Canis lupus familiaris: one gene and its partners. The protein of the gene in region 2 interacts with the protein of the main gene of each other region in a biochemical or structural test. Links are inferred from orthologs where the notes say so. Each region holds a gene or a part of one and is shown on either strand. Other genes may lie near its edges.

Region 1 (10,710 bases), on a different chromosome or scaffold from region 2:
CCCATGACACAACCCATATATGCAGGAAATGGTGCATTTATGATTCAATATCCTCTCAATGCTTATGGAATTGAAGCAAAGGCATCCATTATTATATTTGAAGAGAAAAATCCCTAAAGACATCTTTATATCATGGGCAAGTATCATAAAATATACATGTAGAGGTATCTTCAAATATAGTATGTGCCTGTCTCTATTCCTTCCCTCTCTGCTCTTTTCAAAAATGCCCCTTTAAAAATTGCCCACTCACCATCTGTTAGGTAAATTTCCTGAAACACAGTAAATGTGGAGGCAGAGATTGTTATAGAGCCTATTCCAAATGGCACTGACACCTGTATTTATGAAATTTTGAAAAGAGTAGGTTAGAGTGGTTTTTTTAAAAAAAGGCCCCACTATAGTAATACCACACCATTCTAGGTGCCCAGTTCTATCCAATTACATAAGATAAAAGGAGAGAAGAGAAGGAGCAAAAGAAAGATAGAAAAAAAACTAGGCCCATATATCTAAAATGCCCCCAAAGTTGGAGATTATATTCAAGCTTCAATGAACAGAAGGACAACATTTAGAAATTTACAAATGTATTTCACTGATGGTACAAGGTCCACAGGTGTAGATTTGCAATATGCCCCAACAAGAGTCAAGTTGGCTACTTTTCCCATCTAGTTGCTTTTGAAGAAACAAAGCAACTGAAACAGACACCATTCAATTCCAAGTCCATAGCTTACACCATGTCACTGGCCATGAAATATTGTTCATTCAGAGTCAGGATGTAGCAAGAGTAATTTATACGCTCAGAGTGTTTGCTCTCAAGTCAGTAACAGAGAAGCCCTGAATAAAAACATGACCATTACTTTCCACTCTAATATATCTTACTTATAGCTCATAAAACCGTGGTCAGGGGAGATTTATCCTTTGGACACCACATTATATAAGCTCTCCACTTTAAGCCATCCCCACTCTGTGATTATTTTTTAAATACGTTACTCATAGTCAAAATTAATTTACATTTAATCTTTCTTAGCATTAGGAGAGTATTATTTTGTACAGGCTCAGAAACAAATCTCCAGAAATTCTCCCTGATGCTTCTTTGAGGCTAAAAATGCATTGCAGGGTGGTTGCAGTGACTTAATTCTAGTTGGCAGAGCCCTGGCCACACACTAATTTCATTAGCCTCAAATTCCTAGATTTGAAAGACCCAATGGACATCATTCCTATCCTCTGACATGTCACTTACTAATCAATTCAGTGTGATACAGAAGAAGGGGGGGTGGGTGGAGAGGACTTGCTCAGTTCATAGCTTTGGTCTTCTACGCCAGCAGGCAAATGAAAATTCAAAGTCATAGGCACTATTTACATCTGAGGAGTCATTCTTGCCCAGATCCTAATTCTCAGGAAAGAACTTCATTTCAGTTTGTGCTGGCTACAACAGCATAAGCTACATTTATCACTGTTTCTTTACTCTTTGCTGTCCCACCCCATCAAAGTGTGGAGCACTCCCCCATTTAAGTCACCAAGTATTCCTTCACCCAGCCTAGAAGCTTATCTCACAATAAATTTTTATCTCAAATGATAGCTTTGGCATGGTCCCCGCAGCAACCTACAGGGCCTGGGAAAAGAAAACTCAATTCTCTGGAGAGCTCAGAATTCAATCATTTAGAGAAGCTTCTTTTATATAGGACAATCTTAATTGAGCTGAACCCTGCAATCCCAGAGAAGAGTCACCTACCGTTCTTTCCCGCTTTCTCTCTAAATTGATTGTGCCTTTGAACAATGGGTCTGTGTACCACTATTCTCTCTATTCATTTTGCAGGCTTATAGAGGCTTGGAAACTGGGGATTAGACTGGCATGCCAGGAGCTCCTATCATCACGTGCAAAAAAAAAAAAAAAGGTTGAGGCTATTGGAATCTCTATCTGTCTATCTATCTATCTATCTATCTATCTATCTGGGCAATGGTTGAGCAGGATGCCCACACCAACAGTTTTACCCAGCTCACAGCACAAGCTACAAGTTGGTGCATTCCTCCTGCCACCAGCCTCTTCTCCATAAATGCAGGTGAGAACTGGGGGCTCTTTTTCCCTCAGCTGTTCAATCCAACATGAATAGCTGCAATTTGCAAATTAGAGGAAAATGACAGTGTTTTCTCTGAATGGTTTTGGTCCCAACCCACACTGCTAACACTGGCATTCGCTTCCTTTCCTTCCCAGCCCAGGGAACGGGGGAACTAAGCATAAGGCAAGCCATTTCCCGTTCTTCTCACAAGAGCCTCAGGTTCACACACCAGAGGAAGAATCAGCTCCCCCTGGAATCTTTTCCAGCAAACTCAGTCCTTCAGCCGAGCTTGCGATCCCTCCCCTCCTGACTTTAGCATTTCACTCTTTTTTCCAACAGGCCCATCTGCAGCACTGCCTGTGTGCTGAGTGAAGGAGAAACCCACACCAAAATAATTTAAAAATGTGAAACACCAAATGTGCCTTCAACCCCCAGGGCTCAGGGCTCACAGGGCTGTGAGTCACCCCAGTGGTTCTCAGGTCATCTCTGCTCCCACTTTCTCCTGCAGCACTGCCCTCTGAAGTTGCCTCGCTTTAAGCACAGACAAGAAGGAAACGCTTCTGGGTTTTGCTTACATTAATCCAGCCTCTTCCCAAAGCATCATCTCGGAATTAAGGGTGCCCCCAAAGCATTTGCGGGTTTGCAAATATCTAGCGAGTCCCAGGATGGCACACTTAAGAAGGGTTAGGGGTGCTCAGATCAGAGGGGCCATACCAGGCTGCAGCCTTGAGCAGACACCTCTCTTGGTGCACACACAAACTTCACACTCCTGGGGGCTGAGGTGGTGACAGCCCGAATCTCGCAAGGAATCCCCTGCAGAAACCCAACACCCTTAGGGAAAGCAACCAGAAGGGAGCCAGTTCTTTAGATGTGGGGAGCATCAGGGCACCAGGGTTAGCTAGCCCATCTGAAGAAGGGATTAATCGAGTTTGGGCACGATCAGGAAAGGGGAGAGCTGTGCATTAGGAAAAGACCATCTCAAGCCACAGATGAACAAAAAACTTGAGGGTGCGAGGGGGGGGGGGGGAGACAGGGAGAAAAGAAGCAGAAATTGAAAGAGAGGGAGAGAAAAAGAGAAAAACAAGGAAGAACGAGAAAGACGGGAGAAATAAGGACAAGGGAACCCACGATCACACAGACCCTGTGACTCGATTTCTTAAAATCCCAAATCCGCCCCTTTGTACCCAATGCAGCAGAGGAGCCCCGGGGCTCGGAAGGCAGGAGCAGGCGGAGAGCGAGCACTGCAGTAGAACCCACCGCTCAGCCGCCCCGGATCCGCCTTCCTCCCATTTTCGCCGTTGCCCTCTGGCGCCCGGAGCCGGGGGGCCGCCGGCATTGCTCCGCGCACCCCAGAGCCTCCCTCCGGGCGCCTTCTCGCCAGGCTCCGGGAATCGTCCGCGGAGCGGCGTTTGGGGGCTGGGGGGCTGCGTTCGGGAGGTCGTGGGAAAGGATGGGCGGGGGCTGGAGGCAGCGAAAGCGATTTTGTTTCGCAGTTAGCATGAGCTCATCTCTGGGCTCTGAAGTGGCAGGAGTAGAAAGCTGATCGCCCAGCTCCTGCCGGCGGCCGGACTGCAAATGCAATTTAGACGGTGCAAACAAGTGCCCAGAGCAAATCCCCCGGGGGTCACGGCTGCGGTGGCACCTCCCCGCTTGGGGAGCGTCCCCGTGCCTTTCGCCCCGCGCCCTCGCGGAGACGGGCTACACAGGTCGGGGGATCCAACCCGAGGGAGATGGGCAATTAGCATCCACACACGAAGGCGAAGACCTAGCCCTCGGTTTAAGCTGTGCCTCCCTAAGCTCTTCTCGAAATTTTCCAAGGGAGCTGCGGCTTGCGGGGCGGCTTGGGGCTGGGAAGCTGGGGAGTTGAGAAATGCCCAGTTTCGAGGCGTCTTCTCATCTTTCATATTCCATGAGCCCAGCCGGCTCTCACAGGAGCCTGGCACTTTTACAAGCCTGGTTTTTTGGACCATATTTCACTCTAATGCAAACCCATTTAAATCATCGCCTTGTTTTTCGCAGATTGCTTCTTGTAAATGGGGCCATAAATCCAGGATGCCAAGCCGGATGGAGTGGAGCGCGGACAGGGGAGAGACGGAAGGGAAATGAACCAAGCGGGGAAGGCACCTCCTCGGGTGGGGTGGGAGGGATTCGCCGGATCTCCAGGGTGGAAATGCGCGAAGGCTGACCTGACCCCGCACCCCTGGAGTCCCAGCCAGCTTTTAGGATCAAGTGCTCGGGGAGCTAAGGCGCGCTCTGCCCCGGGGGGAGCGCCTCCCTACCTGAAAGAGCCTCAGGATGTTGGCTACCATGATGGAGACCGAACTCCCCGAAGCCCCAATCACTCCAACTACTTTCTCCGGCTTGACGAAAACCGGAGGCTCGCCGTTGGTGCAGCGCACGTCGGAGGTGTCCTTCTGGATGAGCGCCTGGACGAAAGTGAGCGACTGTTCGAGCGCGTAAGTGTCCCTGGAACAAGTGTCCAGGATCCGCGCGCCCAGCGTCACGTTGGGCAGCAGGTTGGGATCGCTGTTGATCTGGTCCAGGGCGTAGAGCATCGCTTCCAGCCTGTGGATCCCGTTCTCCCTCTTGATGTCGCCGCAGGGCACTCCGCTAGGACCCTTGGCGTGCACCGGGAACAGCCCCCCGAGGGTGACGTCCCCCTCGATCCGGATGGAGTGCGGGGCGTACATCTCCTGGCCGCGCGCCGCCGCCGCCAGCGCGCACAGGAGCACCTCCAGCACGCAGCAGGGGAACTTCATCAAAGTCAGGACGCGGAGCAGCTTCCCCAGCTGGACCATGCTGCTCCCGCGGCGGCGGCGGCGCTGGAGGGGACGGTGGCGGGCTCGCCGGGGTCCGGGCCCCTCGGGGTGAGGTCCTCCCGGGAAGCCCCGAGGCTCCTGCAGGCGCGGAGGGTGGGGGCCCCCGGGGAGGGGCGGCGGGAGAGGACCGGGGGTCCCGCGGCGCCTGCCGGATCGGGGCTCCGTGCGCTCCCGGGTTCGCCGGCCGGCGCGCCGCGCTCGCGCTCCCCGGCTTGCCGCTCGCGCTCTCCAACAGCCCAGCACTGGGGAGAGGGCAAGGATTGCTATCGCTTTAAATGGTCGCTCGGCTCCCTCTCCTCCTCCTCCCACTCCCTCCCCCCTCCCTCGCGAGCTCCCCGACTCTCCCCACCCTTCCCAGCGCCCGCCCTCCCCACTGGTTTGCATCATCACGCAGGGAGGGGTTGCGTGCTGAGGTGGGGGGATGGGTGGGCGGCTAAGCCGGGAGTGCCTCCGACTGGGAGTTTCGCGGTCCCCGGGGAATCTAGGGATTGCAGGTCGCAGGCCAGGCGTGAGCTGCTTCTCCGCTCCCACGCTGGCAGCCTCCGGCGCGCGCCTGCACCCACGCGCACCCGCCGGGCACGGGCGGCGGCCAGGTCGGGAGGGCGCGATGCCGCCTCCTGCTCTCACCCTCCCGTCGCGAGCCCCGGCTGGCCGAGCCCGAGGGCGCGAGGGAGGCGCGGTGAGGCGGGGATGCCGGGGGACCCGCTGCCTACTCCTCGTAGATCTGTGCCAGGCTTCCGTAAGAAAAACACGCATATACACGGGAACCTGATTCATGACTTAAAGAGCCTTTACCCGGAGACTTGTCCGGGGCGAGGCACTGAACCGGCTCCTAGGAAAACACGCCGAGAAACGCTAGGAACGTAAGCGCACCCTGGGTCCTCACCGGGTCCTGGGGCCAGGGCGGATGGCTCGGGCTGACCGCGGTCTCTAGCAAGTCTGTGGCTGAAAGCTCGGACTCCTCTCTCTCCCTCCGTTCGTCGCCAGAGATGTAACACCCGAGAACTCTGCAGAGCACACTTTTTGCTCTGGCGCTGACAGGTGCAAGGCTCCCTCCTACCCATTTCCAGCGATGCTTCTGGGCTGGTGACAGGTTTCCGCGGGCAGGAAGCAGCAGAAAAGAGGTGACAGTAGGAGGAAGAAAGAGAGGCAGGTAGAAGACTCCCCAGTGATCCAGATGCCTTTCTATCTTTTTTTTTTTTTTTTTTTTTTTTCTGGCTGGAGATTTGGTAGCTAAATCAGGATGCAGTGCGGTTAGGAAGCTGATTTTCAAAGGTGTCCCCTCCTGCAGGCTGAGACCAAACTTGAGCTATTAAAGCAACAGGTGGCCCTGGTTCTTATATAAAAGAAGGATAATGTCTCTGTCCTTGGTACCAGGGTGGTTTCAGGCTGGTTAACTCTTGCTGAGGTTTTCTGTTGGAGGGCAGCAAAACTATATTATACAGATTTGAGAGTGACGAAAACCAGAAACAAGGCTTTTTGTTGTTGTTGTTGTTGTTGATGTACTAAAGAAAAATGTCCTTGGACAAAAAGCAAGCAAACAAACAAACAAAAAAAACCACACACACACACATACACACACACAAAACAAAGTCAGAAGATAGTGGTTTGTCTCTGCCATCAACTACCTGTTTGCTCTTGTCATTTCTGTTTTCCTATCTGGATTTTAGTTTCCCTCTGTAAAATGATGAGATTGAACTGGGTGCTCTCCATGGCATCTGTTAACTCTCAAATCCTCTTAAAACAAGCCATGTCCCTTTGGCCATGGATCTCTCTTTTAGGCCAATATCCTCTATTTCTTTATGTGTAAGAGACCTTTTTTTTTTTTTTTAACTCCAAAGTACATTACAAACATATTCTAGTACACAGGACTTTTTCTTTTTCTTTTCTTTTTTTTTTTTCTTGTCCATCATCTATTCCTCTTCCTTCTAGGGATAGTACAGTCCATCAAATTCTTTTTAGATAAGCTCCTCCTCCATGTTTCATTACCTATGATTTGAGAATGGAACCCACTTCTTATAAGTTAGTGCTGATGACTGGCTACAATGATGAGTTAAAGGATGGGAATAGAGCCCAGCCAGAGCCATCCAGGACCAATCCCTGGACTTTTGTTGTGGTATGCAGGACAGTGACACAAGGTTACCACTATCCAACAGACGATATGTGAATGAGTTAGAACCAAAAAACAAAAAAACAAAAAGACAAAAAAAAAAAAAACAAAAAAAAAAAAAACACTACCTCTTCCTCAAAATACTTCATGTGTATCTTTTAGAAAATATACTATTCTTATTATCTAAGAACACATTGCACAGTCTGTTTCAAGAGAACAGTGCTATAATTAATGTACTAATACTGCCTCCATGTACAATGTGAGTATCAATCAATCTAGATGGGACTATGCTACAATCTTACACTGTTATGGCCCCCACTCTTTCCTGGCATTCTGGAGCTGTAAGGATATAAGTGTGTAGCTGTGCCAGGAGCTTCCACATAAACAGAGAGACATTTGAATCCTATCATAAAAGACAAAAGAGGGGAAAGGGAAAGGAGAAATTGGGGTGGGGGTAGAGAGAGATAGGGGCCTGACTTAAACATCTGGACTCTTAGATCCAGACATGCCAGCAAGATTGCCTCTGGATTATTTTTTTCAGTTTTATACTATTTTCCTTCTGTTGTTTGAAGCCAAAAGGATCCTTTCTAATTCACCTGCTGTAAAACACCAGCTCAAAAAGGGTGGAAGGCCTGAAATGGGTATCTTAAGTTACCATCAGCTAATTTGGAAAGGGAGAGAGAAGCAAAGCAATAGGAAGGCATACTTGGGAATACAAGTACTACAATCCTAGTTTGGAGGCATTGGTGCCCCAGGCTGTATTTCAGAGATTATATCCTTATATAGTTTTTAATTTAAGAATATTTATTAGGAACTTGGTGACAAAAAAAAATATTTAGAAAGTTGGGTAACAAGTAATGTCGCCTGATTTTTCACCTGCCCAAGTCCTAGTCCGTGTTGTACTTTGCCATGTCCATTTCATATCCTGTGATTGCTCAATAAATATTTCTTGGCTGACTACTAAATGTTGCCTTACTCTATGCTCTCTCTTTGCTCTGCTCATTCTCCCCAAACATCTGGTAGCAATCATTGTCTTCTTTTTATTGCAGTCATCTGTGTTCATGTCTTATTTCCCTTGCCAAGTTGTAAGATCCTTGAGGGCAAGGGCTGGTATTATTTATCTTTTTCTCCTGGGCAATGTTTGGAATGGTGTTTTGTACCTAGGAAGCACTCATGTGTTGAATGAATCAAAACTGGTCTTGCCATTTCCCACTGCCTTTATTTGACAATGACTGAAACATAAAGTGGGCAGAGCAGAAACAGTATCAGATAAGTTGCTGCCCTCTTAGTCACACTGTGCAGTTTCTAGAACTTCAAAGATAATTAGTAGATTTTGAAATAATTGTGTCTTACAAAAACTGCCTAGGACTGAAATACTCTAATCTTAAAACTCTTGATCAACTATAAAGGGAGGCTTCCATCGGTTCTTCCTGAGTTAAGTGTTAATTCTTGGGTCCTTCTCATAGGCTGATTGAGGAAGGGCAGAAGCCAGACACTAGCACCACTTGAACTGAGTGGAAAGAGTGATCTGTTACCAGAGAAACAGGGAAGTGATGCTAAGCTTGCCAAATCTACAGACATCCAAGCCTTACAGTATCTAATTCATCTTTATATCTTTAGCTACAGAGCACAGGATCTGGAACCTAACACGTGACACAGTATGTGCTTTTTTGAGGTTATATGAACCAAAAATCTCTGTGTAAGACTAGTTGATTTAAAACCGGACCAGTCATCATTCTAGCGCCATATTTAATGGGAAGAGAATCTAGTTTTAGGCCCAAAGATCATACATTATAAAGTGTTTTCACAGGCTTGGTTTTTGTAGTCCTTAACCTGTCCTCACCCAAGGATTAATAAAAAAAATGTGTAACTCAAGTTAAGGGTTCAGTCCTAATTTTATCTTTTTAACACTGTGTTTTCTTAATCATCTTAGTTTTATTTGCTTTATTATTTTCCTTTGCTCATTGTATTTCTGCAGAAAATAATGTCTCTCCACTTTCTCCACTTCCAATTAATTCCCTCCCTATTTAAACCGAATTTGTAATTTACAAAGTTGTTCCCCTTACCTGCTGCTATTCCTGCTGCTGCTGCTGCTGCTAAGATATTCTGGCTCAGTTTCCATCCTTCATCTAAATCTCCATCCACAGTTGTGTTTTTGTTTTTGTTGTTTTCTTTGTTTGTTTCTTTAATACAATCTTACATCTGCATTGCACTACTGAGTGGAGGACACTTTTTAATGGAGAGAGAAAGAGAAAGTTTTCTCTTTCATCTGTTATACTTTCCTGTCATATTTATTTGTAGTAGATGTCTTATGCCACCCAGCATCTATTTCCTGATCCCATCCTTTAAGAAATTCTAATTTTGTACACCCCCTACGTTGGTAGGGGGAGAGATTCCTGCTGTTCCTTTGGTAACATCCACAGCCATTTCTTTGGACAAGAACCCCTTTCAGCCTCTATGAATCAAGATGGAACTATCAATCATAATGCCTTACCTACTCAAACTCAGATGTGGCACACATCTAGTGTTGACAGAGGTGAGCTCTCCCTTCCCCTGATGAGGTCAAAAAATTCAAAGATAGGTAAAGAACCAGAGATTTGATGAATAATATTTAAAGAAGTCAATTCTGTTCCTTTTAACTTCTTATCCATGAAGATAGAAAGTGGGGATTCTCAGTTTTTCCTACCATATGAACAAAGAATTCTCTCTCTGAGAATAAACCAGTTCATGCAGGGAAGCAGATTAAAGATATAGGGAAAAAGGTAGAACCATGATGAGATCATTTGGAACCCTAAATCCAGCAATGTCTGGATTAGTCACCCAATTTATCCCATTCTCTGCTTAGGCTAATAATTCAACTTAGTTGGGTATCTCAAAATTGAGGATGCTAATTTAAATCATTACTGCTTAAAGGTAAGCACATAATTAAAAGAAAAACAGCTACTGATTCTTAAATACCCATAAGAATAATCTATAGAAAGTTTTGAACTCTGATATGAAAGTATATTAATTTTAGAGTTAGCTCTTGATGGGAATCCAGACCTTGACCATATGATACCAAACTCCAAATGACAGTGATTTCTAATGACCTATTGAATGAAAAGTAAAATTAAAATTTAAGAAGGCTTGAGTATAACTAATGGGTTTTTAAATTATCTTCAAAAAACAATTTAATGTTCATCTCATGATAAAATGTATAGCAACAGTACAAGTTTTTGCATGTGTGTTGAACATATAGGGTGTGTTATTTTACCTATCTATAGCTAGTAGTAATTTTAAAGTAGTAGAGTTTGCTTATTTGGAAGAATCACATCCTTATATTCCCAACTGCTTATCTATGAGCAATGGTGCATTTGAACCTAACAGTTGAATCTCCTGGATTTCTTGACTCAACCATGACCAATGTGTGAGGTTTATGCTGTTTTATTAAGCAGAATGTTAGGTGTTAGAATGGGCAGTACATGTGCAGTGACTCATTTAAACTCTGTGCAAAACCTATAAAAGAGTCCTCCTTTCTGGTTCCCAAGTACCCCTTTTATTATGGTATTATTGTACTCTTTAACCCAATCTACCAAGGTATACTATGTTCCAGTAAATATTAACTGAGTGTTTTATTTTTTATAACAGCTCTATTTTCACAATCCCAGAACATAGCCATCTAAATGAACTTTTGTGCCCTTGAATATTATCCAGGTGAGCCTAATTTAATCACACAAGTCCTTTAAAGGTA
Region 2 (10,701 bases):
AAAGCCCAACAGAAGTCCCAGAAGTCCCACAAGAGGGAATAGAAACCAGAGAGCAAGATCCCATCAACGAGCTAATACTAGAAACTTCCAGGGCAGAGAAAGACATGAGGTTCCTGGAGGGACGCGCCCTCTGAGCTCCAACGCAACAGACAGACAAGGGCCTGTGCCAAGAGCCATCATCATGACCCTGCAGGATGCCAAGAACAAAAGGAAACTCCCAAGAGTCTTGAGAGATCAAGGATAAAACATATTACAAATAAAAGGTCACTGATCAGGGCACCATCAGACATAACAGTGCTGACGGCAAAAGATAATGAAAGGAAGCCATTGTATTTCTAAGTGAAAATTATTTTCAAACTTGCCTTTTTTTTTTTTTTTCTTTTTTGGGAGAGTCATTCTTGAATTTGATTTGCCGAAGTCAATTGGAAGGGATATGAGAATAACAACAAAGACAGGATAAGGGCATTTTCAGAGACTCAAACTCTCAAAAAATGTACCTCCATGCAGCCTTTTCCAGAAAGCTACAGGGGGATGTGCTCCACCTCGATGAGGCAGTAAGCCGAGAAAGACAGCTCCTGTCCTGCACAGCAAAGGAAACAGTCCACAAAACTAAAAGGCAACCTACACAGAATGGGTGGAGATATTTGCAAATGACATATCCGATAAAGGGCTAGTATCCAAAATATATAAAGAACTTATTAAACTCAACACTCAAAAGCCAAATAATCCAATTAAAAAATTGGCAGAAGACATGAACACACATTTCTCCAAAGAAGACATCCAGACAGCCAATAGACACAGGAAAGAATGCTCAACATCACTCATCATCAGGGAAATACAAATTAAAACCACAACAGGATATCACCTCACATCTGTCAGAATGGCTAAAATCAACAACACAAGAAACAGAGTGTTGGTGAGGATGTGGAGAAAAAGGAATTCTCTGGCACTACTGGTGGGAATGGAAACTGGTGCAGCCGCTCTGGAAAACAGTATGGAGGTTCCTCGGAAAGTTAAAAATGGAGCTACCCTACAATCCAGCAATTGCACTACTGGGTATTTACCCAAAGAATATAAAAATGCTAATTCAAAGAGATAGGTACACCCCTAAGGTTATAGCGGCATTATTTACAAGAGTCAATATATGGAAGCAGCCCAAGTGTACACTGACTGATGAATGGATATAGAAGATGTGGTTTATATATACAACGGAATGTTATTCGACCACAAAAGAGAATGAAATCTTGCCATTTGCAAAGATACAGATGAATCTAGACAGTATAATGCTAAGCAAGATAAGTCTATAAGAAAAAGACCATATGATTTCAGCCATTTGTGGAATTGAAAAAACAAATGGGTAAAGGGCAAAACAGAGAGAGACACACACAAACCAAGAAACAGACTCTTAACTAGAGAGAACAGGGACACCTGGGGGGGCTCAGTCGTTAAACATCCAACTCTTGATTTCAGCTCAGGTCACAACTGCAAGGTTGTGAGATCAAGCCGCACATCGGGCTCCACCCTCAGCGGGGAGTCTGTTTGAGATTCCCTCTCTCCCTCTCTGCCCCTTCCCCCAATGCTTTCCCCCTCTTTCTCTCTCAAATGAATAAATAAACCTTTAACTAAACAAACAAAAACTTTAGAGAACTGACAGTCACCAGAGGGGAAGGGGGAAACAGGTGATGGGAATTCAGGATGTCACTTGTCGGTGATGAGCACCAGGTGATGTGAGGAGGTGTTGGATCACTAGTATGCACACCTGACACTAACATCAATTACACTAACTGGATGTTAGTGTAGTTAACAACATGTTATGTAGTTAACCATATGTTAACTAACTGGCATCAAATTAAAGACTTGAGAGAAGGAAAGAAAGAGGGCTCCTGGAAGTAGGGGAGCCCCCCAGAGAGGGAAGGGGAGGCACAGTGAGACAGACTCCAGAAAGATGAGGGCAAACAGCTGCCTGAAGAAAGGTAGTGAACGTCCAAAGAGAATGCAAATGGAAGAAACCCGAGAAACCTGTTCAAAAAAGAAAAGACTGAGTTAAGAAAAGAGACCAGAGGCTCCTCAGAAAGTTAACCACAGAGGCACCATATGAGCTGGCACCCTGCTCCCACTCTCAGATACACACTCCCTAAAAATGAAAGCATGTGTACACTCAGAACATGCGCATGCATGTTTACAGCAGCATTCTTCATAACAGCCAAATGTCCTTCAAATGAATGGATGAACAATTGTGGTACATCCACAAAAATGGAATATTCGTCAGCCATAAAAAAATATGCCAACACTGGAATGAAATTCAAAAACATTATGCTCAGTAAAAGAATCCAGACCCCAAAGGTGACATGTCAGATTCTTTTTATATAAAATGTCCAGAAAAAAACAACCTATATAGTAACCAGATTACCCATCTAAAATAACCCTCTGCCTCTCCCCATCAAATAAATAAATCTTTAAAAAGGTGGGGGGGTGTGCAACAGTGGGTGCTATTATTTGACACAGGCCTTCTAGTACTCTCGACTTGTTCAGAGCAAGTCAGATACGCTTTGATAAAAAAAATTCAATTTTTAAAAACCAAATTCTATTATTTTATAACCGTAGTTTGTTCTACACAAACCCAGCCCCCAATGGGTGAGAAGGGGGAGGTGGCAGGGACCAAGCAGGCATGTAGCAGGGGGGCCCAGGCCTGGGCAAGGCCTCCCTAATACCTCCTGGGTCAGAGGAGGCCAAAAGCTCGTGAAGGCAGCACCCAGAGTAGACCAGGCTACATCCCGGGAATCTCTGTCCTCAAGGCCCAAAAGTGACTCTTTTGCAAGATTCTCAGAGAGACAGCAGTTTCCCATCTGCCACCAATGGCTACTGAGCTGAGAAAGTGGGAACAGAGTAGAAGGCAGGTCACATTTATGTCTGTGGCAAGCTTCCTTTGGAGCCTACAGAAAAACCAGTGACTGACCCGTCACAAAGTAAACTGTCCCCACTGCTCAGAGTCACAGCTGATAGAATGTCACCAAAGCAGCTTCATCTACAAGAACCACAAAAATGTTCAGTACCACTGGCAGAGTGTCTCGGGGACATGAACAACTGCTAGGTACAAAACAACATCTTCTACTTCGTATTTATTAAATGCCGGGCAATGTTTGGGGCATTCTGGTTAATCCTCACAGTGACCTACACATTTTACACTCTCACTTGCCAGATGAGGAAGCTGAGGCCCAGAGAGCTTACCAAGTAACTCGCTGCTGAGCAGGGAGGCTTACATTTGGGTTCACCAGGCCACTAGCATCCCATGGACTTGCAGACTTTCCACTAAAATTCACATTCCACTTGCACCAGTACCCCAGGCCGACAGTTTTGTGCATTTGACCCTATGACACATGTTGTACTTGGTGCTGACAGCAGTGAAAAAGCAGGCTGAGATCCTGTCCTCACAGTGTGGTGTCTGGCTAGCAGTGAGATAGAGGACGACGAATGGGCAAACCCATGATTACAGATGGTGAGCGGAGCTGAGAAGGGAAGGAGCGCATTGATACAGCAGAGAACAGGGTGCATCTACTGAGGGGCATGCCCGGGAAGGCCTCTCTGAGGAGTTCAGGCCTCAGCTCCGCAGTCAGGAAAATAAGCCTGCCCCAGGGGAGGGAGGTGGCTCACCCCTTCTAGGACCTCACCCCCACCTCCAAAGCACCCAGTACCTGGACAATATAGAGGCAGGGGCAGTACTGGGCCCCTCCTCCGATGCTGATCCCGATCAGGTTCTGAGCATCCTTCTGTAGGGTCACCTTCCCAGGCACAGTAGGGATTCCACTAGAAAGAGAAGCACATGTGGCCGAATCTCCTGGGAGGATTCCTTAAAGGGGACGAGGAAGGAAGCCCCTGAGAGGCTCCAAGTGCTGCTCAGCTTTTTCTTTTCTCAATTGGCCAAAAAGACAGTGTCTGGCGCTGGCACATGTGCAGCTCTTAGGAGTCCTGCAGATGCAGGATCAGATCCCGGCTCTGCCACTGACCATCTACAGGACTTGGATAAGTAAGTCACCTCTGTGCATCTCAGTTCCCTCAGCCATAAAATGGTATGGATGGAAATGGCTTGCTACTTGGTGAAAATTCTTATAAGAAAGCACACGAAAGGCACTTAACACCAGTCCAGCCCAGAGCAGGCACTCCATGAAAACAGATTCCCCCTTCCCTCTCCTTCATCCTGTCTCTGAGGCCTGATCCAGACTCTGTCCTTCTCACCTTCTCAGGCACAGGTGGAACATTATGGCCACTTGCTCCAGGAAGCCTTCTCCTCTTAAATTATCCATCACCCATCTCTCAGTTGCTCTGCTCAATTACCTCTCAATTTTCAGTATAAACCAGCACTTGTTTATGTTCTGCTGTAAATATTTGCCTCCATTCACTTATTCATTCAACAAACCAGCAACCTACTGATGGTGAGTCGAGCACCATACTAAGTGCTGAGGATGCAGGCAGTGGACTGATGGAGGGCAGATTTTAGTTGAGAGACTAACAATTTCTGAAAATCTGTCCTACTAATTACCTATACTGGGAAGGAAAGTATGTTTACAATACTCCCATTCACCTTCAAAACCTGGCTCCACTGCCACCTCCTTTTTGAAGCCTTCCCTGAACACCCCAATCAAGAGACTGCTCCTCTGCTCTCTCCTTGTAGCCAGGCCATTCTCCATTAGTACCCACGTGGCCCTGACTTGTCATCTGCTAGGGTGTCCGCAGCCCCCTACAGATGGTGAGCTCCTGGAAGGGCAGGGTCCATTTCTACTATAGAACAAGACCTACTTAACCCCCGCTGAGAAGCAAGGGTCTGTGGAGCTGGGAAGTCTGGGGATCTGGAGGCCCCGGGGCTCGTGCATTCCTGGGACTTGGAAGGAACAAAATACTCACAGTTTATCCTCCTCGATGTCATAATCCAAGTCTGCAAACATGGTTCCGAGAGTTGAGGTGGGCTGGCTGACTGCCCAGCTCGGCAGGGGAATGGGGAACTGGACCAGGGAGAGAAAAGAGCGTAGGGTTCAGGGACCCGAAGTGCCTAGATGTCAACCTCCACCCGGGGGATACGGGGGGAGCCGGACCCTCCCCTGTCCCTCTGGACGGTGGGGGTAGTCCCCGAGGTTGGGGGGCGGGAAGGGACGGGATTCTTACTAGGTAGAGGGGGGAGTTCCAGGCCAGGGCGGTGAGCTCACACCCCAGAGCCCGCCCCACGGATCTCCAGGCCCTTGGGAGCCACCTCTGTCGCTCACCGGAAGCGTCGGTCCCACAGCCGGGTCCAGGCCAGGCTGGCACCTGAAGCCACCTGCCGTTCCACCTGTCGGCGGCCGCGACTGTCGCGTCACTTCCTCTTTTACGCGGAAGTCCCGCCTACCTGACCACCCGGGTATTGGCCCCAGTTCTTGCAGACAACCCTCCCTCCCTGGCTCCGGGCTCTCCCAGAGCCAGAAAAGAGCCCAAGTATTGACGGAAGCTCGCCGTTAGCACGAGAAAGCGGAAACAGAGGAAAGGTCTGGAAGGGCCGACGACGCTCAACCCCGCCCTCTGCCCCGTGGCCGCCGCCATCTTGGTGAGGGCAGGGCTCTTCCCAGCTTCCTCCGCGGGACGCCGGGGACCACGCCGGCCGAGCGGTTGCCGTGGCAACGGAAGCATCCTTGGGCGCGGAGGCTTCCGGCGAAGTTCAGTGGAATGCAAACCTTTTCATGTTTTTAGCACCTTGGCCTAGGGTGCTGAGTCTCCTCTACTAGGATGTCAGCCTCCGAACTGGAAGGACCCTTCGAGGCTACTCTCAGTCTGCGACCAGGAAACTGCCAAAAAAGAGAAGAGATTTTGTCCAGAGCCGCCCACCGTTGGTATAAGGTCAAGATCTTGACCCTGAGACTCCTGCCACCTAGTGCAGCGCCCCTTTAACGCCTGCACACTTGTATTCAGTGGCTCTGTTAACAGATTGGGCAAGTTACCTGCCGTTGCCTTTATGTGCCCCCTTTCGCCGTATGCAAACAAAGAGCACTGAGGCAGATGCTTTCTATGGTATTTGGTGAGAGACTCCTCACACCTCATCTCTGTCTTTAGTCCTGAGGAGCAGCCCCCCTGAGGCCCACGGAGGATCACAGCTTCCTTCCAGGGGCGGCGGAGGAAGGAGCCCCACCCCACCCCGCACCCCCTCTTTAGGAAGCCCATCGGAGTCCCGGTAAATGTGCAGAATGCCACAGTAGCGGGGACCTTTCCATGTACCCACTGCTCTGCAGCTCAGGTGACTCACAGGGCCTCAGAGTTCACCATGACCCTGTGAGAGGAGGACATGGGTTGTCAGCCACATTGTGCAGGTAAGGAAACAGGCACAGAGAAGCAGCTTCTCCTCGTCTCACAGTCAGTGGCAGAGCTAGGGCTGGAACTTCCAAACCCTGTTCAGGCCAGGATTTTAATTTTAAAAAGCAGCAACTGGGGCACTTGGATGTCTTAGTTGGCTAAGCATCTGATTCTTGATTTCCACTCAGGTCATGATCTCACGGTCATGGGATAGAGCCCCGCCTCTGGCTCCTTGCTCAACTCAAAGTCTGCTTGAGATTCTCTCTCTCCCTCTGACCCTTCCCCTCCCACATGTGCTGTCTTGTTCTCTCTCTCTCTCTCTCAAAATAAATAAATCTTTAAGAAGAAGAAGAAGAAGAAGAAGAAGAAGAAGAAGAAGAAGAAGAAGAAGAAGAAGAAGAAGAAGAAGAAGAAGAAAACGACACCAGCCTCCAAAGCCAGACACTTTAACAGGAACTGTGACTCCTCCACCCATGACTCTTAGCTCAAGCCCATGTTCTGCCATTTTATAACTGGGTGATCTTGGGTAAGTCACTGCCTGGCTCTGAGCTTCAGAAATCCATAGACCAGGGGAAAATGATCCTCCCAACAGGTACTTGTGAAGGTCAAGATGAAGAGGTCCATCTGACCTGCCTGATTGGGACATTTGCTTTATTGCGGTGTTCTGGAGCCAAGCCCCATGTCTCCGGGGCCTGCTTGTACAGAGAATAAGATCTGCCCCCGACCTCGGGAGGGACTTTCTGCCTGGAAAGATAAGAAGTGCTTACTCTGGTGAGAGAACAAGTTATTTGACCTTTATTTCCCCTCAAATTCATGGTCCAAACCTCACCCCCTTAATTGGCTGGGACAGGTTTCCCTGCTACTAGGGAGACCCAGGAGTTGACCCAGGAGACGCCCTCCACTGATGAAGTGGTTTGTAATATTTTCCCACTAATAGGCATTACCAAACAATCCAATTGTCTTTCCTTGTTTGTCACAGTGACACCACCCATTCATTGATGGCTTCCTGGCATCCCCTGGAAGGTGCCATGGGTTATAAAGTTCATACAGAAAGAGAATTTAAGGAGAAGCAGTTTAGAGTTTGTCAAGATATGAGCCCTAAGCCCCAGTTTTTTTAAGATTTTATTTATTTATTCATGAGAGACACACAGAGAGAGGGGCAGAGACACAGGCAGAGGGAGCAGCAGGCTCCATGCAGGGAGCCCTATGTGGGACTCAATCCCGGAACCCCGGGATCACGCCCTGAGCCGAAGGCAGACACTCAACCACTGAGCCACCCAGGTGCCCTAAGGTTTATCCATTCATTCCTGCAAGAAAGTATTTGTCTACTTTAATGTGTTAGCCCTGAATGCCTTAGTGCCAGCTAGTCCGGGGCCTTCCCACTGCCTTTTCTTTTTTAAAGTTTTTAAAAAATATTTTATTTATTTATTCATGAGAGATACAGAGAGAGAGCGGCAGACATAGGTAGAGAGAAGCAGGCTCCACGCAGGGAGCCCGACGTGGGACTCGATCCCGGGACTCCAGGATCACGCCCTGGGCTGAGGCAGACGCTCAACTGCTGAGCCACCCGGGCGCCCCATAAGCCCCAGTTTCGAAGGAGAGAAATCCTCCTCGGACAATGTACAAGCATGTATAAGTTAATCAACTCAGAGTTGGCTCAGGGAAGCCACGAAGGGATTTCAGAAGGCCATACATAATTCATGACCAAATGAATGATCCAAATAACTGTTTCTGGAACTTACAAAAAGGGGTAAGATTTGTGAGGAGAGACTGTCTGGTAAGGCTGCCTGGAAGAGGTGGGTCAGAACCAGGCCTGGAAGATGGGGAGGATGAGGCAGAAAAGAGATCAGATGAACTTTTTGGTTTCCTAGTGCAGATAAAAGTTATGTTTACACCGAACTGCAGTCTATTAAGTGGGCAAGAGCATACATCTAGTGCAGCCTGGGTGGCTCAGTGGTTTAGCGCCGCCTTCAGCCCAGTGATCCTAGAGACCCGGGATCGAGTCCCATGTCGGGCTCCCAGCATGGAGCCTGTGTCTCTGCCACTCTCTCTCTGTATCTCTCATGAATAAATAAATAAAAATTTTTTTTAAAGAGCATACATCTAAAAAGGCAAAACGTACATACTTTAATTAAAAAATAGTTTATTACTAAAAGAAAATGTTAACTATTATCTGGGCTTTCAGTGAGTCATCATTGATTGTAATCATTGATCACAGATCACCATCACAAATATAATAAAAAATTTTGAAATATCGTGAGAGTGACAAAATGTGAAACTGGGAGGCAAAGGGAGCAAATGCTGTCAGAAAAACAGCGCAGATTTGCTCAGCGCAGGGTTGCCACAGAGTTTCAATTTGTGAAAAACACAGTATTTACAAAGTGCAAGAAGGGAGGTTACCAGCATCTCCTGCAGAGCCTGGCACGATCCCCGACTGTGGATGTAAGTGCCCTTGAGATGGCTGTGGCTTGGTATGAGTTGGGACGTGTCCTGGGCCCTGGAGGACATGGATGGACAGGGAGAAGGGGTGATAAAGACCTGATCTCCCGACAATGACCTCAGCTTCCTCCATGGGGCTGGAATCACCACCCTCAGTGTAGGTCCTGAATTTTGGAATTTTGGTTTTTAACAAACAGCAACCTGTAAACCCGGAGGCTTTGTCATAGACTGCCGCCCCCGCTCCCACCCTAGATAGGCCCCAGCTCCAATCTGAGCTCTGCTGTTTTGTAGCTGGGGGATCTTGGGCAAGTCACCCTTTGCCTGGGAGCCTCAGCTGTCTGTAGAATTAAGGATGATGATCCCTCCCAAGACAGTAGTTAAAGAGACAAAGATTAAAAGGAGAAGCAGGTGGGAAAGTACCTCGTGAGTGATTCACTCGGCACAGATGACACAGGTTTTTATTGCCATGCCTCACTGCAATTATTTTGCCCAACTGCTTCAGAAGGTGGAGCCAATGGTGCACTAAAGGGCTTTAGGATGCTCGGGCCCCTGCATCATACTCTTGCAGGAAGTGTCTTACGTGGAGATTCTGGGGCCCTGTCTCAGACCTATTAGATCAGAGTCTCCAGCTGGATCTATGGGCAGACACGTTCCTATGTGTCCTGAGTGAATCCAGCAATTCCATCTACAGAGTGATGGCGCAAAAGGGATCCCAGCCCATTCCATCAGAGGGTCCCCTCCCCCAAGCCCCATGGCCCTGGCCACCAAGGAGTTTCACTCAAACCACCTATTAGCACGTAACTCTAATACCACGTTCTGGTCTATAACTGCACAGAACCCCTGCTAGACCAGCCAGTGAAGGTGGGGACATCTCTACGCCCCTCATTCCAGCAAGAAGAAGCTACCAAAGGTAAGACCTACATCCAAAAACCAAAGATTTGTCATTGTCTGTCAGGGGGAATGTAGAGGCCGCTCTTAGGCAAACAGGCTTGAGAGATGGAATGTAGAAAGGGGCTCACAGTGACGCCCTGTCTGAATGCAGGCAGGCCCATCAGGCAACGCTCCTCAAAATATCCATAGGCCCTAACTGACCAATGGGCTCCTTACAACCAGGCACAGTCACCAAAAAAGGGAAAATTCCATATGTTCTCACACCTCCTCACCTTTCCACTTTATATTGTTTTTTTTTTTTAAGTTTTATTTATTTGAGAGACAATGACAGAGAGAGAAAGAGAATCTGAAGCAGACTCCGCCCTGAGCACAGAGCCTGATGTGGGGCTCTATCCGACAACCCTGAAACCATGACCTGAGCCGAAACCAAGAGTCAGATATTGGGCAGCCCCGATGGCCCAGCGGTTTAGTGCCACCTTTGGCCCAGGGCCAAAGTGGAGACCTGGGATCAAGTCCCACGTCAGGTTCCCTGCATGGGGCCTGCTTCTCCCTCTGCCTGTGTCTCTGCCTCTCTCTCTCTGTGTCTCTCATAAATAGGTGGATAAAATCTTAAAAAAAAAAAAAAAAAGAGTCAGATGCTTAACCAATGGAGCCATCCAGGCACACCACCTTTCCACTTTAAACACAGCCCCCATCTACTGCCTCCTTGCAGACAGCCTCTCCTCTGCTGTCCTGCCTGCCGCTTCCTTGTGGTGTGTTCAGTAAACTTCTATCTCCCTTTAAAAAAAGAACAAACAAACAAACAAAAATAGATCAGAATCTCCAAGGAAGGGCAGGTCTTGGAGGCTACATTTTCACAAAGCTCCGTGGAATGGTTTCAATGCCTCCTGCAGTTTGCAGATCATCGTGTCACAAGCTCAGAATGGACAGTGCCCTTGCACATTCGGGTGGGCATTTTAGGTCTCCCAACAATCCCTGGGCCCCAGGGGTCTCGCCATCCAGGAGGAGCCCAGGATGTTATGTGGGCCCAGAGAAGGCTTCCTGGAGGAAACGACATCC
Region 3 (9,922 bases), on a different chromosome or scaffold from region 2:
TACTTGCCCTTTAGAGATCTCCCAAGTTTGGCACCTAAATTCTTCCTTGTCTAATTTGAACACCCTAGAAACGTGAAGAAAGTGAGTTTAATTCTCTTCAAATTCTTTCTTTCAGGCACAGCTTTTAAAATATTTTGTAACCAGGGGTTTTATTTTCCCAAAATGAAACATGTTATAGAAGGGTTAATTAATATGTAAAACTAGTTAAGTATGCAACTGCTCTGGCTACCAAGGGTTGATTTGGTTTGCCCACTTCTCTTTCCCTGACCTGCCTTCTTCCTCCCACCTAGTTGAGGACACCAGGCAGGACTCACAGTTGTAAGGTTGGCAAATCCCTGCTGTAGGGCATAGTTTCTCAGAATGTAGTCAGCACTGGGATTTCTGGGCCTCTACCCCCAGCCAACTGAATTAATAAGCACAGAATGAGTATCCACAGATGGCTCTTCTGCACACTGGAGTGAATTACTGTTCCAGAAACTCTAACCTGTCATTTTTAGTAAAGAAAAATAATCATGTAAGCGCACTGCCCCTACAATCGTTCCAAATAACCCCAATCAAGGTACTACATTCATTCCAACACTGAAATTGCCAAGATGCTTTAAGAAGTGAAGTCAAATAATTTTAAATAAAGTATTGCTTCCAAAAGTTAAGTATACAGAAATTATGATGAAAATCTTAACTACATTTATAATTTTAAATCATTTAGTAAATGTTTATTGTCACTCTTCTAGGAGACTTGGGGGAAAAACTGTAATAAACTGGACAGATATCCTGTCCTCAATGAGAAGAAGTATATGCAAAGGAAATGAAGTACATATATAAAAGTGGTAGAAGGTACAAGGAGATGATTGAAAAGGAGATGATTCTTCCCAGATCTGAAGATGAAGGGATGACTCTTCGTAGTTCAATTTTAACATAATTAAGAAGTCTTTTTAAAAGTATTTTATTTATTTATCTACTTGTCACAGAGAGAGAAAGCACAAGCAGGGAGAGTCAAAGAGGGAGAAGCCGGCTCCCCACTGAGCAGGGAGCCTGATGGGGGAGCTCTATCCCAGAACCCTGGGTTCGTGCCCTGACGAGAAGGTAGATGTTAACTGACTGAGCCACCCAGGTGCCCCAACATAGTTAAATCTTAAAGTTGGCCTGGTATAATGCATCTCTCCTTTCCCTATCCCTTCCAGATTCTCTATAATTAGCACATCCCCCTCACACCACATGCAAGGCCCCAGGAGAGCTCATTCCTGGTCTGGGGGTGTGTGATGGCACCCCTGTCAGCCACCTGGTGCCCCAGCAAGTGGTACCATGACTAGTCTCCAGCCCTGCAAAAATACATACAGCTAACAGTCAGTGGGTTAATGAGAACAGGATGATCAGAGAGTGATCCCAGAACCCCAGGATCATGCCCTTTGACCAAAGGCAGGTGCTAAACCGCTGAGCCACCCAGGCGTCCCTCACTTCGTATTTTTAATTGAAATGTGTAATTCTTTCAACCCAACCAAGAGATTAGATAAACTCCTATAAATGTACATAATATGGTAAATGACAACACCATTATGGCTAGTGCCTTCAGATGACTCTGTGCTCCATGATAAGACTGTTTATACTTGCATAGACCTCAGAGAGTTCCATCTTGGCCTCTCTTTCTCACTCTGTGTCTCTCATGAATAAATAAATAAAATCCTTTAAAAAATATGAAGTGAATATTAAACATTTAGCAGAATATTCTGAGAGCCTACTTATATCTCTCTCAATCCTACAGTGAAAAAAGAAATTCTTTTTTTTTAAGATTTTATTTATTTATTCATGATAGACACACAGAGAGAGGCAGAGACATAGGCAGAGGAAGAAGCAGGCTCCACGCAGGGAGCCTCACGTGGGACTCGATCCTGGGACTCCAGGATCATGCCCTGGGCCGAAGGCAGGCGCTAAACAGCTGAGCCACCCAGGCTGCCCAAAAAAGAAATTCTTAACTAAAAGTATCATAGTCTAGAGAGACAATCAACTGAAGGTGACAATAATTTCAAAATTATTCATAATAAAATAAAACTGAAGATGACTAAAGACAATTTTATAATAAAATAAACAGTAAGATTTGTTTTTAGTCTTCAGGTAGATACCATTGACAAAAATGGCAGAGTCAGATATATTAAGAAACTGATTAAAATGTGTAAGTACAAAGGATAATTATTCTGCTGGTATTATTAATGTTCAGATGATAAATATAAAAGCTTGATTTTGCTCTAAAGAAAATGAATTTTTTAACTTTTGAAAAGAAATTAAATCCTATTGAAGAACTAATTCATTCATTTATTAAAATAACAAATCTAACTTGTTGATCCATAAATATTTAAAAATAATTGTGTATAATTACAATTTAATCATATTTAATGTATTTTAACTCTCAAACATATCCTGTTTAGACAAAATATATTACATGGTTATCGTTTTATAAACAATAGATATAATTGCTTTGAACTTTATGTTTGAAATTTTACATAAATTTTGCATAAACTGTATCTTACTGAACATTCCTTTGCAATTTACAACCCATTATAAGAATAAAATGCTGATTATCCATTCTACTTTTAAAGACAACTGTTATTGCTATCTTTTCATAAATTCCAATGGTCCTATTATGGTCATCTATATAGATGTCTCCTCATGTACTCTGAGTTCCAGAATATGTAGAGATCTGTAATTTCATTAATTATTATGAAGCTGTGAGTTGCTATCTCTGGTAAATCAATGGACATTCCCACCATCAAGTATGAAAGTACTTCTTGCCCTATATACTAACCAATGCTTGGTATCGTCAGACTTTTAAATATTGGCCCATCAGGTAGGCTACACTGATAAAATATTGTTGTAATACTAATTTCTCTGATCATTAATGAGACCTTGAACATATTTCCGCATGAATTGATCAGTTTTCTCCTAAATGTCATTTTATCCTCTACTTTGGTCTCTCCTATTTTTGTACCCATTAAATTAATCAATATTATTTTTTATACCAATGTTCATTTAAACTTGTATTTATCCTTGTATTTTTGAGCATCATCTCTCATATCCCATTTTGTCACTTTGAGTTCAAACCCATTCCTCGCTGTTGTGAGTACTTCAACAGTTCTTTCACACTGAGTACAAATACTCTCAGTGTTCATCTGAAAGTGTCTTTATTTCCCTCTCACTCTTGAGCAATATTTTTGTTAGGCCTGTTGGGTTTGGAGCCATAAGTTAACAAGTGTATCCCTTGGCCATTTGATATTATTCCAATATTGTTTTCTTCTATTATTCCTGCCAGGACCCATTCGAATTACTGTTCTATTATAAGTAATCTCCTTCTTCAATTGGTTTTAATATCTTCTTTTTTTCCTTGGTCCTTTACTTTCTTTATAAAGTGAATTTATTTTTGTTCATCTTGATTAAGACCAATTGTGTGTTTCTTTGTTTTATTATGCTTGGGACCATGTACTCTTGAATCAGAGGACTTACACATACTGGAAAATTTTCAGTATTCTCTTAGAAAACTGTCTCTTTTCTATTCTGTATTCTCCTGTCATGAAACTCATCAGAAATATGTTTGGCCATCTCTTCCAAACTTTCAGTCTCCTAAAAGCATTGTTTTACATTTTAACCTGTACCACTTTGGACAACTCCTTCATTTCTATCTTCCAGTTGACAATTTCTCTCTTTGGCATTGCCAAACTTGCTGTTTTAACCCATCCACTGAGGACTTTTTTTTTTTTTTTTTCATTCCAATAGCTAAAATTATGTTCTATTTAATAGCTGTTCTTCTATTATGGTTGTATTCTGTTTTAGGTTTCAATTTTTTTCTTTTATGCTTTAATTAACATCAAAAGTATTTGTTTTGTGTTCTGTTTCAAATTGTTACTTTATTTTCTCAAGTTTCAGGGGAAACCAATCTTCCAGTTTATGGAATATACTTACTTCTACTCAAGACAGAATGTCTCTTTGTTTGAATTGTAATGTTTGATGACGTGTGCCCCTTTAAGAGGGGGTGATTCCCTCTGGAAGCGACCTGCCATGCCACCTGAATGTTCTCTAGAATAGCTTTTATGTATGCTCCACTTGAAACATCAGATGCACCATAAATCGGAGTCCAATACTTATATTAACTTTCCATTCTGGATCACATGGGTGCTGCAGAGTTTTAGATGGATCTCATTTTTCCCCATGTATTACATTTTTTCCTATGTCTCATATAATCCTCACTTACTGTATATAGGAGAGAAATTTACTTATACTTTACAAAGTCATTGCTATTATTTTGTGCTTTCTGTCACACACAGGCAAAAAGAATCCTGTTATACCTTTGACTATTTTTTTTTAACATTTTATTTATTTATTCATGAGAGACACAGGGAGAGAGAGGAAGAGACACAGGCAGAGGGAGAAGCAGGCTGTATGCAGGGAGCCCGACATGGGACTTGATCCCAGGACTCCAGGATTACACCCTGGGCCAAAGGCAGGCGCTAAACCACTGAGCCACCCAGGCTGCCCCCTTTGACTGTTTTTTTAAAAGATTTATTTATTTATTTATTTATTTATTTATTTATTTATTTATTTATTTATTTGAGACAGAGAGGCAGAGAGACAGAGAGCCTGTGTGTGTGCAGGAACCTGGGAGTGCACAGCAGTGGGGAGGGGCAAAGGGAGAGGGAGAAGCAGATTCCCTACTGAGCAGGGAGTTGGAAGAGGGGTGGGTGCTGATCCTAAGACCTTGAGATGAGGACCTGAGCTCAAGGCAGAGCCACCCAGGTACCCTCAGGCACCCCTACCTTTGACTATTTAGATCGGAAAATAAAAGACTGGGCAGCCTGGGTGGCTCAGCAGTTTAGCGCCACCTTCACCTGGAGACCTGGGATCGAGTCCCGCATCGGGATCCCTGCATGGAGCCTGCTTTTCCCCCTGCCTGTGTCTCTGCCTCTCTCTCTCTCTCTGTGTCTCTCATGAATAAATAAATAAAATCTTAAAAAAAAATAAAAATAAAAGATTAAGGGAAATACATTAATATTGGCAAAATAAGAAAGGAATCGCCATCCTTGCTAAATAAAAGCATTTTGAAAATGGGGTGTAACACGGAAAGACAGAAACATCGTTCACACTGCGGGTGTTATTGACATTGTAATGTCTTAGCACTGGCACACGATTAAAGTTACCTCTAAAGTTCTCTTTCTGTTTTTTGAAATTTCCCTACATCATCAGAAACACAATAAACCAAAATGTATTTTAAGAAAATAAGAAATAGAAAAAGAAAGGCAAAACCTGGGAGGGATATAGATGCACCTTAATCATGTATTTTGACCCTAGCTCAATGCATCATATTTCCAGCATCCTGCTTCATCTTAATTAATTAAATTTAAAAATAACTAAAATAAAATACCATGACCATGGTCCTGACACCTGCTCCAGCCCTTCCCTTCATTCTTAATTTGAAAGCCCTGTTCTATTGTATTTATTAAATGTATTCACCTCAAATTTTATAGCCAAGTGCCATCCTTCTAATGATGCCTCCTTCTAGTAATCCAGACCTTACATGAATTAAATATGTACATACTGAGCCCCTTCCCTGCAGAGGTCGGCTACACAAAGTGCTCTATTGGCCGTAGACATAATCTGTACAATTACCTGGTCTTCTGGCTGGCAGAACCCTCTCAGAGTCGTCGCTCAGGATCACAGCTAGACCCACCGAGTGGGCTGGGAGGACAGAGCTGCTGAGGTCCACACGCGTTAAGCTCTCAGGCTCTCTGTCTGAGCCCTCCACTGCCTTCCGTGGGCCATCTCCTCCAGGGACCTCCCTTTCTTGGCTTTTGCTCCAGGGTCTCTGCACAACGTGAATGATGCTCTGCTGATCCAGGTCACAGCTCTGTGTGGGAACAAGGCAGACACAGACTGAGAAAGTGCAATCATTAAAATGCCAAGTAAGGTTTGACTTGTCCTCCATCCCAGAGTCCACAGAAGAGGCTAAGATCTGTTTAGGCCCAAGGTTGCAGCAGTCATGGAACTTGAGAGCCATGTGTGTTTGATAGAGGCAGACACAGGGTCAGCAGGGCCACGGCACTCACACACATGCCTGCTACCAAAACGTGGGGATACATGGAACACAGCAACAGAAAACTAGGGTAACAGTCAAAGCAACACGAGAGCTCATAGGGCAAAAACGTACCACACTGCACACATAAGCACAGCAAAAAGCAAAATTCTTTTAAAATTGATTTACTTCTGAAGTGATGTGTCCTCCCAATTCTCAGATATAAATACTGGCATTCATCTCCATTTTATAAACAGAGGGTTGGTTATTGTCAGTTACAGAGCATTTCTCTCTACAATTTAAAATCATGTTTATGGTAGACTCCACACGCATCCCCTATGTCACCAGCAAACATCACCACAGCGATGGGGAAGCAAGTGAACAGCATACGCAGGCCAATCCATCCAAGATCACAATTAAAATCAGTGAATATGTGAAAAAATGCTCTGCATCAATATATTGATGTGTATGAACAGAAGACTGTAAAATTTACTAGAATTAAAGTTAGAAGTCAGATAATTTGCTAGGGCTAAAACAAGACTACCTGAGATCAAAGCCTCATCTCAGAATATCTACTGGATGGAAAATCACTCATCTGTCTGCAGTCCTCCTCCTGCAGAGCCAGGACCTCGTTCTTTCGATCAATCCCTGAATTTCAATATCTATAAACTACCCACAATCATGCTCTCATCGTAGCAATGTTCAAACAACACCATGCAAACACAGCAATGCTTGTAACAGTCATAACTGGCCCCCATCCTCCCTCCAGAGCTCCATCACCATCACCAGCAAACATTTATGAGGGGTGCCCAACATGCAGCAGCATTTCCTGCAGGCTCACCTTGTGGACTCAGAAGATCACTGGGATGCCCTCTGGTCCTCAGTACCATTTCTGCTTCTGTACCCCATGCCCCAGGCCTCTGTCACCTGGACATGCTTGCTTTCCTTGCCACCTGTCCTCACAGCTCTGTGAATCTCAGGGTGGCTCCTACTCAGCCATGGTCACTGTGTCCTCAATCTCCATCTTAGTCTGCCCCACCTCATGTCCCCATTTCTGTCGAAGCACTGCCCTCCTCCATGGTACACAGGCATCAGGCCCTCCCCCATCACCTACAACTCTGATGATCCTTCTGTGTCTTCTGATGGCTTCAGTAGAATCACCGCTGTGGGCTCCTCCACCCTACCATTATATCCAGCAAGGTGCCAAGAGCAACTAATTCTGATTCAGAAATTGCCTTCATATCTTCCTGCTCCTTTACTTCTCAATTGCCACCTCCCCATTTTAAGCTTTCATCATTATAGTAGCTGTGCAATTGCTCCCTGACCTCCCATCTCCCTCTATCATCTATTATGTACAAGTTTCTGGAGTGTGCGACATAACCTTTTCAAATGTCTCACTATTACCTGTTGTATAGAATCTGACATCTTACTATCATCTTCAGGTGTGCTTAGACTTTTCTCTTTTTTAGATCACCTATCTCATGATTTGATCTCCTTTCCATCTCCTTCATCGTATATATGAGAGATGAGATTTTTCATCAGAGCTGTTCACTCCCATCTCTCCTTCTAGACTTGATTTGGGCTCAGTCACGTGACTGGCTTTGGCCAATATGATTGAACCAGGGCCTTAAAATGTATCTGCACCACTGCTGTGGTCAGCAGTAGAGCACCTCTGGGTGCTTTCCACCTCCTGAGCCAGGGCCCCATGTGTACATCTGACACAGACCTGTGTTCAACCACAGAGAGGACCAGGGCAGCTGTACCTACAGCTTGAGAAAAGCCTTCCAGCTTGAGGCAGGCTGGCACCACGGACCCCCAGTTGACATGAAGGAGATGCTCATTTGATGTACGGCACTGGGATTTTTGTGGTTGTTCATTAGGCAGTAATAGCTGACAATATCTATTTTCCATTCTCATTGATCTGATAGACATTCTATCACTATTTATCACAGCCTCCGCGTTCAGCCAGGACCATAGGAATTGTACATAGCCCTGAGCCTAAGTCATTTCAAATAAAGCAACACCAAGATCTGAGTACACTTGAGCAGACATGCGAGGACAGGAGCTCTGCAACAGGAGGAAACAGTTGAGAATGAGTCTCCTAACATCCCCTGAGGTTTTTGTCCATAGTGTTTTCCTTTCAAGGAGGCTCAAGAATTCAGTCAGATAAAATTCCTCTCTCTACCTTCAGGACTTACATGCTTCAGATAAAAGTAATGCCTTTCTTCTGCACCTGAGTGTCAGCAATCTTTGCCTGTCATGCTCTTCCTGCCATGGTCAGAGTGTAGAGGTTTTTTTTGGGGGGGGTGTCTGTCTGTCTGTCTGATCTTCAGACTCAACTTAGAAATTCTTGAGAGTGGCAACTGGGTCATACTTGTATTTTACTTATCAGAATGACTCACACAGTGCTTTGTACCAGATAGAGAAAATATGCCCGTCGATGGAAAAGTCAAAGGATGGGGGCAGAAATAAGAATGAATAAATGAAAAAAAAAAAGAATGAATAAATGAATGAATGTAACAAATATAAAAAGTCACAAGCTCTATACCTAAAATGTTCTGTGGGGAACCAGAGGCTGTGGAAGAAAGAACGTGGAATTTAAAGCCAAATAGATGTAATTTATTAGCTGTATAATTTCTGGCAAATTACTTTTCCTCCCTAAGCTCTGGTTTCTACATTTTTCATTGGCAATACCACAAACTTTGAAGACTATTCTGAAGATTTAAGGAAACAGAAGGAGGGCAGACCCCAAGCCACAGCAATAACTCAAAATACATAGGTGTTAGTATCAGTATCATCATTCAGGAGTTTTGAAAACTAAACAAGACTGGCCTCTGATCTTGTACGTCAATAAAGCCTCTGAATCTTATTAGGCTGTCCCATTGACACAGTCCTACTTGGAAAATGGGCATAGAAGGCAGAATAAGAAGATGCTATAGATGTGACAATCCTTCTGACAACATTCCAGCTTCCTGTGAACTAGACATTGTTAAAAAAAAATGCCTATATGCTCAGATGCCATGAAACACATGAAGAACCTCAGCAAATTCTCAGAGCCTGCTAAAATTTGACAACCATGGGAGAAATCCCCAAACTGAGATTTTCCTTTCGAGATTTTTTTTTTTTTTAATGCCTAGGCTAGAGCTGGAAAGGGGAACGGGAAGATATGAAGATCCCAAGCAGATTTCAGTAGCTACAGTGATATGTACAGAACATATTTCTCTTGGTCTCCATCCACGGTTCTGAGGCCATTAGCTGCTTAATTCTTTGACCTCTCATAGAAAGCGGTGTTGATCTCGGAAACAGTTCCTCTGCCAGATGGTATAACTACACCATCACGTTGGTAGAGTTCAAAGCCCTACTAATAACACATTCCAGAGATGATAAATTGGATAAAGTTTAGTTGTCTAGTCATTTCAAAGCCCCAAATAATATTTAGTTCTCATAGTATAGGAAAAACTTCCTTAGCTTTGGAAGATAGAGATTTTCAGTGTCTTTCAGAAAAGACAGCAGAGTTCTCCAGCATGGTTTTAAACTTCCTCTGAGCAAAAACAATCCCTTCTGTCTTTGTTTCCTCAATAAATAGAATATTTCCTGGCAAAGAGGAAACACATCATATTTGTGGTTTAATTTATTAATTCAACAAGTAAGGAAGTGATATAAGTTGTTCAATGTGGACAAAACAAGTAGTTATTTGCCCAACTGGGCTTGCTGTTTGCTGCCAATCGGACGGAGCCTCTGCCCCATCAGGGACTGAGAGATTTGGATCATATACACTCTCTCTATAGTACCTTTGATTTAGAGACACCCCAGTATTAATAAAATATCTATGGGAGATGATTGACAACCAATAACCAAGTCTCACCTGAT

The links.
Region 1: the proteins of PICK1 (region 2) and GRM7 form a complex in vitro, tested with the Homo sapiens proteins (2 studies listed by BioGRID, with this or other methods). The link is inferred for Canis lupus familiaris from reciprocal best matches to the Homo sapiens genes PICK1 and GRM7.
Region 3: the proteins of PICK1 (region 2) and PRKN form a complex in vitro, tested with the Homo sapiens proteins (3 studies listed by BioGRID and IntAct, with this or other methods). The link is inferred for Canis lupus familiaris from reciprocal best matches to the Homo sapiens genes PICK1 and PRKN.

Annotation. Positions count from the first base shown.
Region 1 is NC_049241.1:11,129,782-11,140,491, forward strand, and holds the start of GRM7 (metabotropic glutamate receptor 7), read right to left. Parts: upstream 4,919-10,710; 5' UTR 4,850-4,918; coding exon 4,331-4,849; intron 1-4,330. UniProt on the Homo sapiens protein: G-protein coupled receptor activated by glutamate that regulates axon outgrowth through the MAPK-cAMP-PKA signaling pathway during neuronal development.
Region 2 is NC_049231.1:27,609,238-27,619,938, forward strand, and holds the start of PICK1 (PRKCA-binding protein), read right to left. Parts: upstream 5,561-10,701; 5' UTR 5,158-5,560; intron 4,998-5,157; 5' UTR 4,941-4,997; coding exon 4,900-4,940; intron 3,805-4,899; coding exon 3,693-3,804; intron 1-3,692. UniProt on the Homo sapiens protein: Probable adapter protein that bind to and organize the subcellular localization of a variety of membrane proteins containing some PDZ recognition sequence.
Region 3 is NC_049222.1:51,314,369-51,324,290, forward strand, and holds part of PRKN (E3 ubiquitin-protein ligase parkin), read right to left. Parts: intron 5,888-9,922; coding exon 5,650-5,887; intron 1-5,649. UniProt on the Homo sapiens protein: Functions within a multiprotein E3 ubiquitin ligase complex, catalyzing the covalent attachment of ubiquitin moieties onto substrate proteins. Substrates include SYT11 and VDAC1.